Anolis sagrei: one gene and its partners. The protein of the gene in region 1 purifies or fractionates together with the protein of each later gene. This does not show direct contact. Links are inferred from orthologs where the notes say so. Each region holds a gene or a part of one and is shown in the gene's direction. Other genes may lie near its edges.

Region 1 (3,753 bases):
ACACAGACCACAGTGACCCCCAACAATGACGGACCCTAACCTTAACACAGACCACTGTGACCCCCATCAATGACGGACCCTAACCTTAACACAGACCACAGTGACCCCCAACAATGACGGACCCTAACCTTAACACAGACCACTGTGACCACCACCAATGACGGACCCTAACCCTAATAGAGACCACTGTGACCCCCACCCTAACCCTAACACACACCACTGCGACCCCCACCAATGCTAGACCCTAACCCTAGCACAGACGACTGTGATACACACCAATGACGGCCCTAACCTTGACCCTAACCTTATACCTGACCTTGACCCAAAACCCTATCTCTAACCATAACCACTGTGACCCCCTCCAATGTCAGATCCTAACCCTAACCCCTACCAATGACAGAGGGATCAGACGGTGCCATCCTGCCTGGAGGAAGTGGACTCTAGGATTCTATGATATATCGTATAATTTTTGCTCTCAGTCATGAATGGCCATCTATGCTATAAGGGCATGGCCATCTGTCTTTGATGGTGCCTTTTTTCATGGCTGAATACATACAAATACATGCAAACACATTTTATCTTCTTCTTTCTTTCATTTATTTTTCCCCCTTTCTTTCTTCCCTGAATTCCTTTGGGGAAAATATATAAAGGCGGTGCAATTTCCCGATACGGCCACTGGAGGGCGGTAAAGAACCATGCACTGGGCAAAAGGCGCCTCTGCGGCTTTAAGTACTGGAAGATCAAGATGGTGCAATTTTCGATGCGTCCACTGGGGGCGCAAAGGGGCCGGCCATTAGGAAGACACAACCCTCCCTCTTTCGGGGCAATCGAGGCCTAGAGCCGCGCGTGCGCAATCCAACAATCGCTTATCCGGCAGTCGAGGCCCCGGGCTGTGCATGCGCAACTCTACAATCGCTTTTAGGCGTCTTCAGGCTGCGCATGCGCATTTACAATTGCGCCCTGAGGCGAAAGGAGAGCGTGTGGTCGGTCGGTTCGGCTCGGGAAGATGGTGAAGCTGACGGCGGAGCTGATCGAGCAGGCGGCGCAATACACCAACGCGGTGCGGGACCGGGAGCTGGACTTGCGGGGTGAGGAGGCCGGCCGTCGTGTAGTGGCGGAGGCCTGTTTTGGGTAGGCCAGGAAGCCTCCTACGGGAGCCTGCGGGGGTCATGCTTCCTTGAGTAGGCCTCTCGTGGGGCCTGCGAGGCGTTAGCGTTGGCGCAGGACTTCAGGAATGGCATCGTTCGAACCCTATTGGAAGCAGAAAGAGGGAAGGACTTCAGGGTCTTACTCAGGGCGCTTTTTGGGACTGCAGCTTCCAGAATTTTTAAACCAAGGTTTCTCAAGCTGTCCTCCAGATGTTTTGGACTTCAGCTCCTACAATTCCTAACAGCTGCTAAACTGGCTGGGGTTTCTGGGAGCTGAAATCCAAAGCACCTGGAGAAGCACAGTTTGGGAAAAACTGCCCAGGCCCTGGGCAAACTTCAGCCCTCCAGGTGTTTTGGACTTCTACTCCCACAATGCCTGGGGCCCAAGTTTTCCCATGCCTGCATAAACTCTGTATTGACTTGATGCTCCAATTGAGAGACCACAATTAAAAGAAAATTAAGACCGATTTTGTAACGGCAGTATGCACTTTTACTTAAACGACAGCCAGTAATATACTTTTTGCCTTAGGGAACATCACTTACAGCGCGTCGGGTTCAAACTGACTTTTCCGCTAAACATTAATTGGTAGTGTTCCATTATTCAGGTTTACATATTTTATTTAAAGTATTATTTATTCAAAAAAAATTCCAGTTGCTTGTGTCCCCTTAATTGGGAATCTGCTGTACTTAAACCAATGAGCATTGCCACGTTATTGCTTTGGTAGAAAGTACAATGTGTGAATGGTTCTGTGGAAAGAATATATTTTTACTGTTTTGGTTGATTTTAACTGAATTTTTAGTGCTGTTTGTGGCTAATTCTATTTTAATTTTTGCATATTTATATATGCTCTCTATATATGATACACACAGACACTCATATATGTGTGTGTGTGTGTGTGTGTGTGTGTGCATTCATGTTGGAGCTAGCTATGGACAATGGAGATGAGCACCACCCCGCAGAGTCAAACATGGATAGACTTAATGTCAGGGGAAACCTTAATTGTTACCTTTATATAAATATGGACATGCCACTAGTTTTATCTACCCATGCCCCCACCCAAACCCTACTTTAAGGAATTAATCAATTTTTAATCTTTTTATCTTGTAGTTGCTCGATTATTTAGGAGTGGGTTGACAGGCCAGTAAGCCATGATGCCTTGTATTCATATATAGTTTTACTGTATGTGTATGTTTTGCATGTTTTGATATGGTCAAAATTGACTAATCAATAAAGAATTGTATATATTAAATTGTATACTAATGCTTTTGTGTCGCGCTGCTTTGAGTCCCCTTTGGGGAGATAAAGTGGGGTACAAATAAATATAATAACAATAATAATAATTTCTGTTTGTCTCGAACCTGCTGCCAGTCAGCCTGAGGCTGGATCTACACTGCCATATAATCCTTTTTCTGAGTCCAGATTATCGGCTTTGAACTGGATGGTATGAGTATACACTTCCATATGATCCAGTTCAAAGCAGTTAATCTGGATTATATGGTAGTGTAGATGAGGCCTAAGAGTATAATCCTAAACTCTATCAGAAATTTCTCAGATCTGCTTGACTGGATTGAAAGAATACTGAGACAATAGTGTACTGCCAGCTTTAGTTTAATGCAGACTCAAAATTGCCCTTTTCCATTAGTAACTAGGGCTATTTTTTTTATTTTTTTATTTTTGGTGATGCTTTATCAGGTTATAAGATTCCCGTGATTGAAAACTTGGGGGCTACTCTGGACCAGTTTGATAGTATTGATTTCTCTGACAATGAGATCCGAAAGTTAGATGGGTTTCCTTTGCTGAAAAGGTTGAAAACATTGCTGATGAATAACAACAGATTGAGGTGAGTGTGAAGCCTAAATACCCTCAAATTTAAGAGAGAAAGCAGTGCAATGTTAGTCTTTTCTAAATGTAATGGAAATGTAACCACTTTGCTTTAAATTTCTCTTTTATTTCAGCCGAATAGGCGAAGGATTGGAACAGTCTCTGCCCAATCTCAAGGAACTAATTCTTACAAATAATAATATCATGGAATTGGTGAGTGAAATAAAAGGCAATTTAAAAATGAATGGGAAGGAAGGGGAAAGCCCTTTGTTGTCACAAAGTCCTAAAGGAATAGCTGCTCTTCAGATATGGACCTTGATATTATTGAAACTGACAGTAAAAGTCAGAAAGGTTTGGAACCTTTTAAGTGACCTGCTCTTTTGTGTATGGGAAAGAGGCGGATATAAAAGTTCTTGTTATTTAAGGCTTTTATTTATATTTCTGTGTTTACACATAAGAGAGTCACTGAGAATCATAGTATAGCAACCCTGGGAGAATTTGGTGACTGAATACAATTTTTCCTTTATCCTGGGATGTGCTTTGGAATTCAAAAGCTTCTGGGAAAATACTCTTTTACTTTAACGGCAATGAAGTAAGGCTCAGATTACAATTATGTTTCAAACCGAGAATATGAAACAGGCTCTTAAATGATGGAGTCTTGCATTTACTTGATGCTCATTTGTAAGATAAGTTCCAGCTCTTGAAGGGCATACATTTCCAATGGACTGAATCTCTGTATCATGTGGAACTATAAATGTCGTAAATAAATTAAATAAATAACTA
Region 2 (3,753 bases), on another chromosome or scaffold:
TGTTTACTCATAAAAGTAGGTTTCACTAAGGTCAGTTAGACTTACTGTCAGGTAACTCTGGATGGGAACTTGAACATAGTCTTGACAGTGCAATTCTGATAATTGTTACTTGGAAGTAACATAGAAGTGCATAGGATTACAGAATAAGGATGCTGGGAGCTACATACAAATGTGTAATTTGGTTTACAATGCATCATTGTGTTAATAATACGAAGCCATATAATCATTTATCTTCTCCCCAGTGCCTAAAAGGCCTAAACACCTAAAGGAATCAGGTCCCAGCTAAACTTGGAAGCTAAGCAGAGTTACTCCTGGTTAGTACTGGGATGGGAGATCACCAACAAATACCAGGAACTGTAAGGTTTATTTCGAAGAAATGAACTGGCAAGACCATCTTGTGAGTGTTCCTTGCCTAAGAAAGCCCTATGAAATACAAGTTGCTTAAGCACACACATACTCATGGATAGTTTTAAAAACAGAACACAAGCTTGAATTGCTTATCTTTTCATTCTTGTAGCCCACCTTCATTATGAATCTTCACCTTCATTATGAACCAAGATATAAAACTGGGGTCCTCTTGATCCGTGTCTAAATTCCCTTGACTTGTGGTTGTGGCTTTTGGACCTTTGAAATTCTTGGGGCCACTATAAATCAACAGTCAATTTGAAGCGCACTTGGGCAGTCAACTCTTGGAGGTGCATTTGTCCCAATTTTTGTGTATGAGGACAGCCAGTTTGTTAGTACATGTGTTAACGTTTCTTTTATCGTAGTGTTCTTTCTGAATATGTTTATTCAAAATGAAACCCTATTACATGTAAGAACGTTTATTCTCAGGTAAGCCTTGGGTGGCACATCCCTATCAACAAACCAGCAGCTGGGAATCAAGTCAGCGCCTCCAACTGGGATTTGTGTATTTGATGAAAGTCCTACAACGTTTAACCTCAAAAGTGGCGTAAGGGGTGAATTACACCTCTTTCACTGAAGTCAGAAATGAGCATTATAGATTGGCTACTAGTTCGAGGCGAAGGAGGCCTGAAGTGATTGTGGGGGAATGGCGGAACGTTGTTCACTGCGCTGTCAGAACCCGGCGGGCGCTCCTCGCTTGCGCTCCTTCCGGTTGGCGGCCTACTTCCGGTGTCGCTAAAATGTCGGCCGCCATCGCTGCCCTCGCCTCGTATGGCGGCTCCGACTCTGACTCCGAGTCGGGCTCGGACGCCGAGGGTAGGCCCAACCCTCCGGCGCGGGTTGCCGGCGGGGATGCGGTGCTGCACCTGGCCTCCTCGGCCTCTCAAGCGCTTCTGCCCGCGGTGGACTCGGCCCCGGCCGTGGCGGTGAAGGTAAGGAGGGCTGGCGAGGACTTGGCCGAGTTTTCTGCGCGGAGAGCGGGCTTGGGCCTTTCCCGCTGGACGAAAAAACGCGCCTCTGCTGGAAGCCTTGGCTTTGCTCTGGGCCCAGTGCAGTTTGACACCACTTTAACTGCCATGGCTCAATGTTAGGGGATCCTGGGAGTTATAGTGTTGCAAGATCTCTAGCCTCCTCTGCCAGAGAGTGCTGGTGCCTCACAAGGATTCCATAGCGTTGAGCCATAGCAGTTAAGGAGTGGATTAATCCTACAGTGTAAAAGATGAACCCTAAGCCTGATAAATGCCTCGCGGCTTCTGTTTCCGGAAATGTCTCCAAAAGATTATTGACATGGAGTTTCTGTAACTAGGGCATCGCACGCTTTGAGCTTCCACCTGTTTTTGACTTTAACTCCCAGAAGCCTCTGCCAGCAGGGCTAGTGATGTGGGATTCTGGGAGCTGAAGGCCAAAATTATCTGGAAGATCATTTGAAGATGCCAGCCACAGATGCAGATAGTGTTTTTTTCCTCCTTTATTATTGTGTCAAAAGCAAATTGAGAATATACTGCAAGTCACTTCTGGTGTGAGAGAATTGGCCGCCTGCAAAAACATTGGCCAGGGGACGCCCGTATGTGTTACCATCCTGTGAGAGGCTTTTCTCATGTCCCCGCATGGGAAGTTAGGGCTGACAGACAGGAGCTCACCTTGTCTCGTGGATTTGAACTGTCAACCATCAGATCAGCAGTTCAGCCCACTCAAAGGTTTAACCCATTGTGCCACCATGGCTCCTTCAGATGCAGATGAAACATGTGTAGAAAATGCTGCTAGAACACGGCCATGCGGCTTGGAAACCACACAACACCTCAGTGATTCTGCCAGAGAAAGCCTTCAAATATGTATCTGGAAGTGAATTGCCTGCATGGCTCACAGGCAGGAAGTCAACCTGAAATGATCCCCCCGACGCAGAGATTTGCGGTGACATATGTTTGAAAGCCAGAATGACCTGCTGAAGAGGAATGGGCAGGTTCATCTTAATGTGTTGTACTGGTGGTTTTCCATTGAGAGAGATGTTTCTTTGATGTTTTCTGGGAAGCCTTGTTCTAGTTCCCTTTTTGTTGCTCTCCGAAAGCCTGTTTGAATAGCCAAGTCTTGATTTGTTTCCTAAATACCAGGAGGTCAGTCTGATCTCGCTAGTCAGGGAATTCCACAGATGAGGGGCCACCACCGAGAAGGCCCTGTCTCTAATCTCAACCAATTATGCTTGCGAAGTTGGTGGTAGGACCAAGAGCAGGACCTCCCCAGCAGATCTTAGTGCTCAAACAGGCTACATCTGTTTCCAAAAGACTGAAACAAGATTAAATTAAAATCTGATTTCACATAAGTTAAAAAATAATAAAGAATAAAGATTTTATTTCTGTCCTGCCCTATCCCTCCAATGGTGACTCATGGCAGTTCACAACATATAGCAGCAAACATTCAGTGCCATGAAGTGCGACCAAAAAACCCCACAAATAAGCAAATAATAAATCAAATAACAGCATATTAGACATGAACATCAGGCAATAGTGAAAAATTACAACAAATTAGGCACCACACAACTAAAAATGAACATTTTGACTGATAAGCTATTTATTTATTTATTTATTTATTTATTTATTCGCGGTATTTGTATACCATCCTTCTCAACCCCAAAGGGGACTCAGAGCGGTTCGCAGTCTAAAAATAAGACTTAAAATTTAGGACTAATAAGAAGCAAACATTAAAAAATTTAAAGGCAGAGTAACAAACCATTTCCATATTACGTTCTGTTTTGTTCGTGCCAGACGTTTTATAGGTCCTCTCCTCTATGTATGCTTGTGAGCATAAAAGGGTCTTTAATTGTTTTTGAAGGAGAGCAAGGAGGGGGCCATTTTGATCTCCTTAAGGAGGTAGTTCGAAGAAGGCCCCATCTCTCGTTCTCACCAGCCATGCTTGGGTCAAGGGTGGGACCAAGAGCAGGGCCTCATATGCTAATTGCAGTGCCCAGGCAGGCTCGTATGTGGAGATGCAGTCAGCCAAATAGTCTGGGCCCGAACCATTTAGCAAATTTAATAATAATATTCAGTAAAACTCCCATAACCACAGGATCTGTATCCACAGTTTCATTTACCTATTCCTGTGGGGAAGTAGTTTCCATAGGAATTTCATAGGTCACCAGGTGATTCTATGATAAATTACCAGAGTTGTGTTGGATGACTTAGCAAATTCCTAGAAAGACTATTTCTCTAAGAATTATGGCCCCTGCAATGCAGCTCTATGGCATACTAGGGCCAAAAGTAAACTAATCTAATTCAATGTTTATTAACCTGTGGGTTCCGATTCCAAATGGGATCCCATTCGCTCAATATTGGGGTCCCGAAACATTTGGAAACA
Region 3 (3,753 bases), on another chromosome or scaffold:
TGCCATGGCTCAATGCTATGGAATTCTGTGAGTTGTAGTTTTACAAGGCTTTTCATGCTGCCTGCCAAGGAGTGCAGATGCCTTAGCAAGGAGCCATGGCACGTTAGAGTGGTATCAAACCACATTCATTCTACAGCAGGCATGGGCAAATTTCACCAATTGGGTCACACAGTTGACAGAAAACCTACACACACAGATATCTACATAAAAACTCCCAACCATCACCCAAGTGAAAAAAGAAGAACAATTAAAGCCCTCGCAGATGGTGCAAAAAGAATCTGTGAACCCCACCTCCTCCAAGATTAATTGAACCACCTAAACTGGGTTTTACAGGCCAATGGATACTCCACCTCAGACATCTGAAGAGCTGCAAGACCAAGAACAAGCCACGAGAGTAAAGACAAATATCCACAAAGATATTCTTGCAATACATCAAGGGGACCACTGACTGCATAGGGAAGCTGATGAGGAAACACAACATACAAACTATCTACAGACCCACCAAGAAAATCCAACAAATGCTACGTTCAGCAAAGGACAAGAGGGATCCTCTCACCTCTGCAGGAGTCTACCGTATACCATGCAGCCTACATAGGGACCACCAAACGCAGCATTGCCCAAACACAAATCAAGGAACATGAAAGGCCCTGCAGACTACTTCAACCAGAGAAGTCAGCCATAGCAGAGCACCTGATGAACCAGCCTGGACACAGCATATTATTTGAGAACACAGAAATGCTGGACCACACCAACAACCACCATGTCAGACTACACAGAGAAGCCATTGAAATCGACAAGCATGTGGACAATTTCAACAAAAAGGAGGAAACTATGAAAATGAACAAAATCTGGCTACCAGTATTTAAAAAACTCTAAAATTATAACAGCACAACAACACTCAAACACAGGGGAACTCAGGAACAGCTAATCACCTCTCAACAAAAGATTCCCCCAGGCACTAACAAGCTACACTTAAAAACTGCCAGGCCATCAAATGCTAATCAAGGTGGCCAATTGAAACATTCACACCTACCTCCAACAGACAAGAGCTCTTTCTCCCACCCTGGACTTTCCACAGATATATAGACCCCCATTTTCCTAGTTCCAACAGACCTCACAACCTCTGAGGATGCTTGCCATAGATGCAGGCGAAACGTCAGGAGAGAATGCTTCTAGAACATAGTCATGTAGTGTGAAAAACCTACCGGCTGTTAGGAATTGTGAGAGTCCAAAACACCTGGAAGGCTGAAGTTAGCCATGCTTGTTCTCCAGTGTAGTTACACCCTTAGGGTCCCCATTAAGCTGGAATGGACTCTTAAGGCCCACCCCGCCACCAAGCAACACAAGATTCCCTGCAAGGGGAATCCGGCACTGGCTGCACACGGCTCCTCCGGCCGCAAGGGGCGCTGTCGCTCTCTTTCCGGAAGTGGGGAGGTGGTGTCTCTCGCTTCCTCCTTCGCGTTTTGCGTAGAGGGACGCGTCATTTCCGCTCCAGTCGTTCTTCGGAAATGGCTGGCAGACGTCGCTGCGCCGCGAGAGATTAAGCCGGAGCGAGGAGGCTGTGTTTCGTGAGCGGCGCCATGGGGCGAGAGTCCAGGTGAGCGGGCGGCTGTGTCCCCTGGGGGATCCCTCTGAGGCCCGGCCGGGACCCTGCCCCCTCGCCCTTCACTCACTCTAGGCGGGGGCCAGGCCGGCCCTCAGGGCCTTGCGAGGGCTGCGCGGAGACGGGGCCCTTTCTCATCGCTCCTGGTGTACATGGCAGTCTTTGGAGGAGACGTTCTGGTGCCAAACCACCCCCGCCACCTCTTCCTCCTCCTTCTGTGTCTCGGGGCCCTTCCACACAGCCGTATAACGCAGAATATCAAGGCGGAAAATCCCACAATGTCTGCTTTGAACTGGGATATCTGACTCCACACTGCCATAAATTCAAGTTCAAAGCAGATATTGTGGAATCTTCTGCCTTGATATTCTGCGTTATATGGCTGTGTGGCAGGGCCCCAAGACACAGAAGGAGGAGGAAGAGGTGGTGGTGGTGATTTGGCACCACAACGTCTCCTTCAGAAGATTGTGATTTACGCCAGGAGATATGAGAAAGGGCCCCGTCTCCACACAACCCTCGCAAGGGCGAGGGAGCAGGGTGCCAGCCAGGCCTGGGATAGCTGAGTCCACACTGCTATATATTCCAGTTCAAAGCAGATATTGTGGAATCTTCTGCCTTGATATTCTGGGTTATATGGCTGTGTGGCAGGGCCCTTTGTTACTGAAGCTGGATACCAAACTCCATGGACTCTCAAGTCCCATGATTTACAGTGACATAGTAAAATGATGTTCTTTTATATAAAATGGCAAAGTAAAGGATTTTTAAAAAATCAAATATTTTAAAGCCATGGATGGTTGAATCCGTGTTTACAAAGGGCTGACTTCATGTGTCATTTCCTATTACATTAATAAGTTATGTTAATTTGTTTCTCGCAAGGAAGTAGGGATCCTGCAGCCCTTCACTGTTTCAGTCAGTTGTCCGTAATCATTGAAGGCCACATGGTACCCATGCATCCTGGGTTGGCAGATTAGACATGTTTTAATGACTTTGGGCCTTTCCACACAGCCATATAACCCAGAATATCAAGGCAGAAAATCTCACAATATCTGCTTTGAACTGGGTTATCGGAGTTCACACTGCTATATAATCTAGTTCAATGTGGATTTTATATAGCTGTATGAAAGGAGCTTTAGACCCCATCCGCACTCAGTCTTGTTTTAAAATATTTTTATTAAAGACACAAATATAAAGCATTTTCCATATATGTGCGTGTGTGTGTATGTATGTATATATATATATATATATATATATATATATAATATAAAATAAAAAGGAGGGGAAAAAGAAAAAAGTGAGCAGAAAAAGGTGAAAAGTGATAGTGAATCAAGTAGAGAGAGGGAAAAATCACATTTACAAAACTTTATATATATTGACTTCCGTCTGCTTCGTTATGTTACTTACAATATTCTTGCAGTCTATTTTGTCTCCACCTTCATCCCCTTTCTTTGTCAATGTGTACTTAAAGAACGACTATTTTTCTTATATCTTTATTTCTTCTTCAGATTTGTTTTTTTTTAACTTTTCCTTTTTAAAATAGTCTTTAAATAGCTACCAATCTGTTTGAGTTTTTGCTCTTCCTTGATTTGTTGATGACAAATATGTCAGCCTGTCCATGTTCATAATTGATTGTTTAATACAGTTTGAAGCTAGCTTTGAAAGGTGGCAGCCGGACAACAAATTCCCCCAAAAAGTGCATGAATGAAAGCCCTTAATGTGCATCAGTGCTTTGTAGTTTGTTTCATCACCATACAGGCCTCAAACTACTACCAGGATTTCCTGTGTAAATCATCTGCACATCAACATCATTTTTGTTTGAAACTGAATTAAATGGTCAATGTAGATGAGATCCTATATTATAATGCATTGTTAGTGTAATGTAATTAATTATCTGTAAATAAGAATGCATTACTTTGGCCAGCACACATTTTGGTGCATTGTTAGTCCTGTTTCTGGTATATTTGATCTGCTCGTTCCAAAACTGGCCCCAGATTTCTGCTATCAGCTCTAGTTTTTGAGATACAGAATATATGCCATATACCAATTTTCATCTGCTCACCCATAGAAAATAATGATAACCACAACTAAGAAACTAGAGCTGATGCAGTCTATCCAGTGCAGTTTTCTGAGTCAATGCCACATATAACACCAAGAAC

What was found. Proteins that work in one complex are often made in the same cells at the same time.
Region 2: the proteins of SNRPA1 (region 1) and CDC40 purify together in Homo sapiens (affinity purification with mass spectrometry; 3 studies listed by BioGRID and IntAct, counting the BioPlex papers as one, with this or other methods). This does not show direct contact. The link is inferred for Anolis sagrei from reciprocal best matches to the Homo sapiens genes SNRPA1 and CDC40.
Region 3: the proteins of SNRPA1 (region 1) and DDX46 purify together in Homo sapiens (affinity purification with mass spectrometry; 3 studies listed by BioGRID and IntAct, counting the BioPlex papers as one, with this or other methods). This does not show direct contact. The link is inferred for Anolis sagrei from reciprocal best matches to the Homo sapiens genes SNRPA1 and DDX46.

The regions. Positions count from the first base shown.
Region 1 is NC_090029.1:22,342,730-22,346,482, forward strand, and holds the start of SNRPA1 (U2 small nuclear ribonucleoprotein A'), read left to right. Parts: upstream 1-925; 5' UTR 926-1,006; coding exon 1,007-1,088; intron 1,089-2,841; coding exon 2,842-2,989; intron 2,990-3,104; coding exon 3,105-3,183; intron 3,184-3,753. UniProt on the Homo sapiens protein: Involved in pre-mRNA splicing as component of the spliceosome. Associated with sn-RNP U2, where it contributes to the binding of stem loop IV of U2 snRNA.
Region 2 is NC_090021.1:93,489,116-93,492,868, reverse strand, and holds the start of CDC40 (pre-mRNA-processing factor 17), read left to right. Parts: upstream 1-1,128; 5' UTR 1,129-1,145; coding exon 1,146-1,337; intron 1,338-3,753. UniProt on the Homo sapiens protein: Required for pre-mRNA splicing as component of the activated spliceosome. Plays an important role in embryonic brain development; this function does not require proline isomerization.
Region 3 is NC_090022.1:91,475,283-91,479,035, reverse strand, and holds the start of DDX46 (probable ATP-dependent RNA helicase DDX46), read left to right. Parts: upstream 1-1,464; 5' UTR 1,465-1,580; coding exon 1,581-1,597; intron 1,598-3,753. UniProt on the Homo sapiens protein: Component of the 17S U2 SnRNP complex of the spliceosome, a large ribonucleoprotein complex that removes introns from transcribed pre-mRNAs.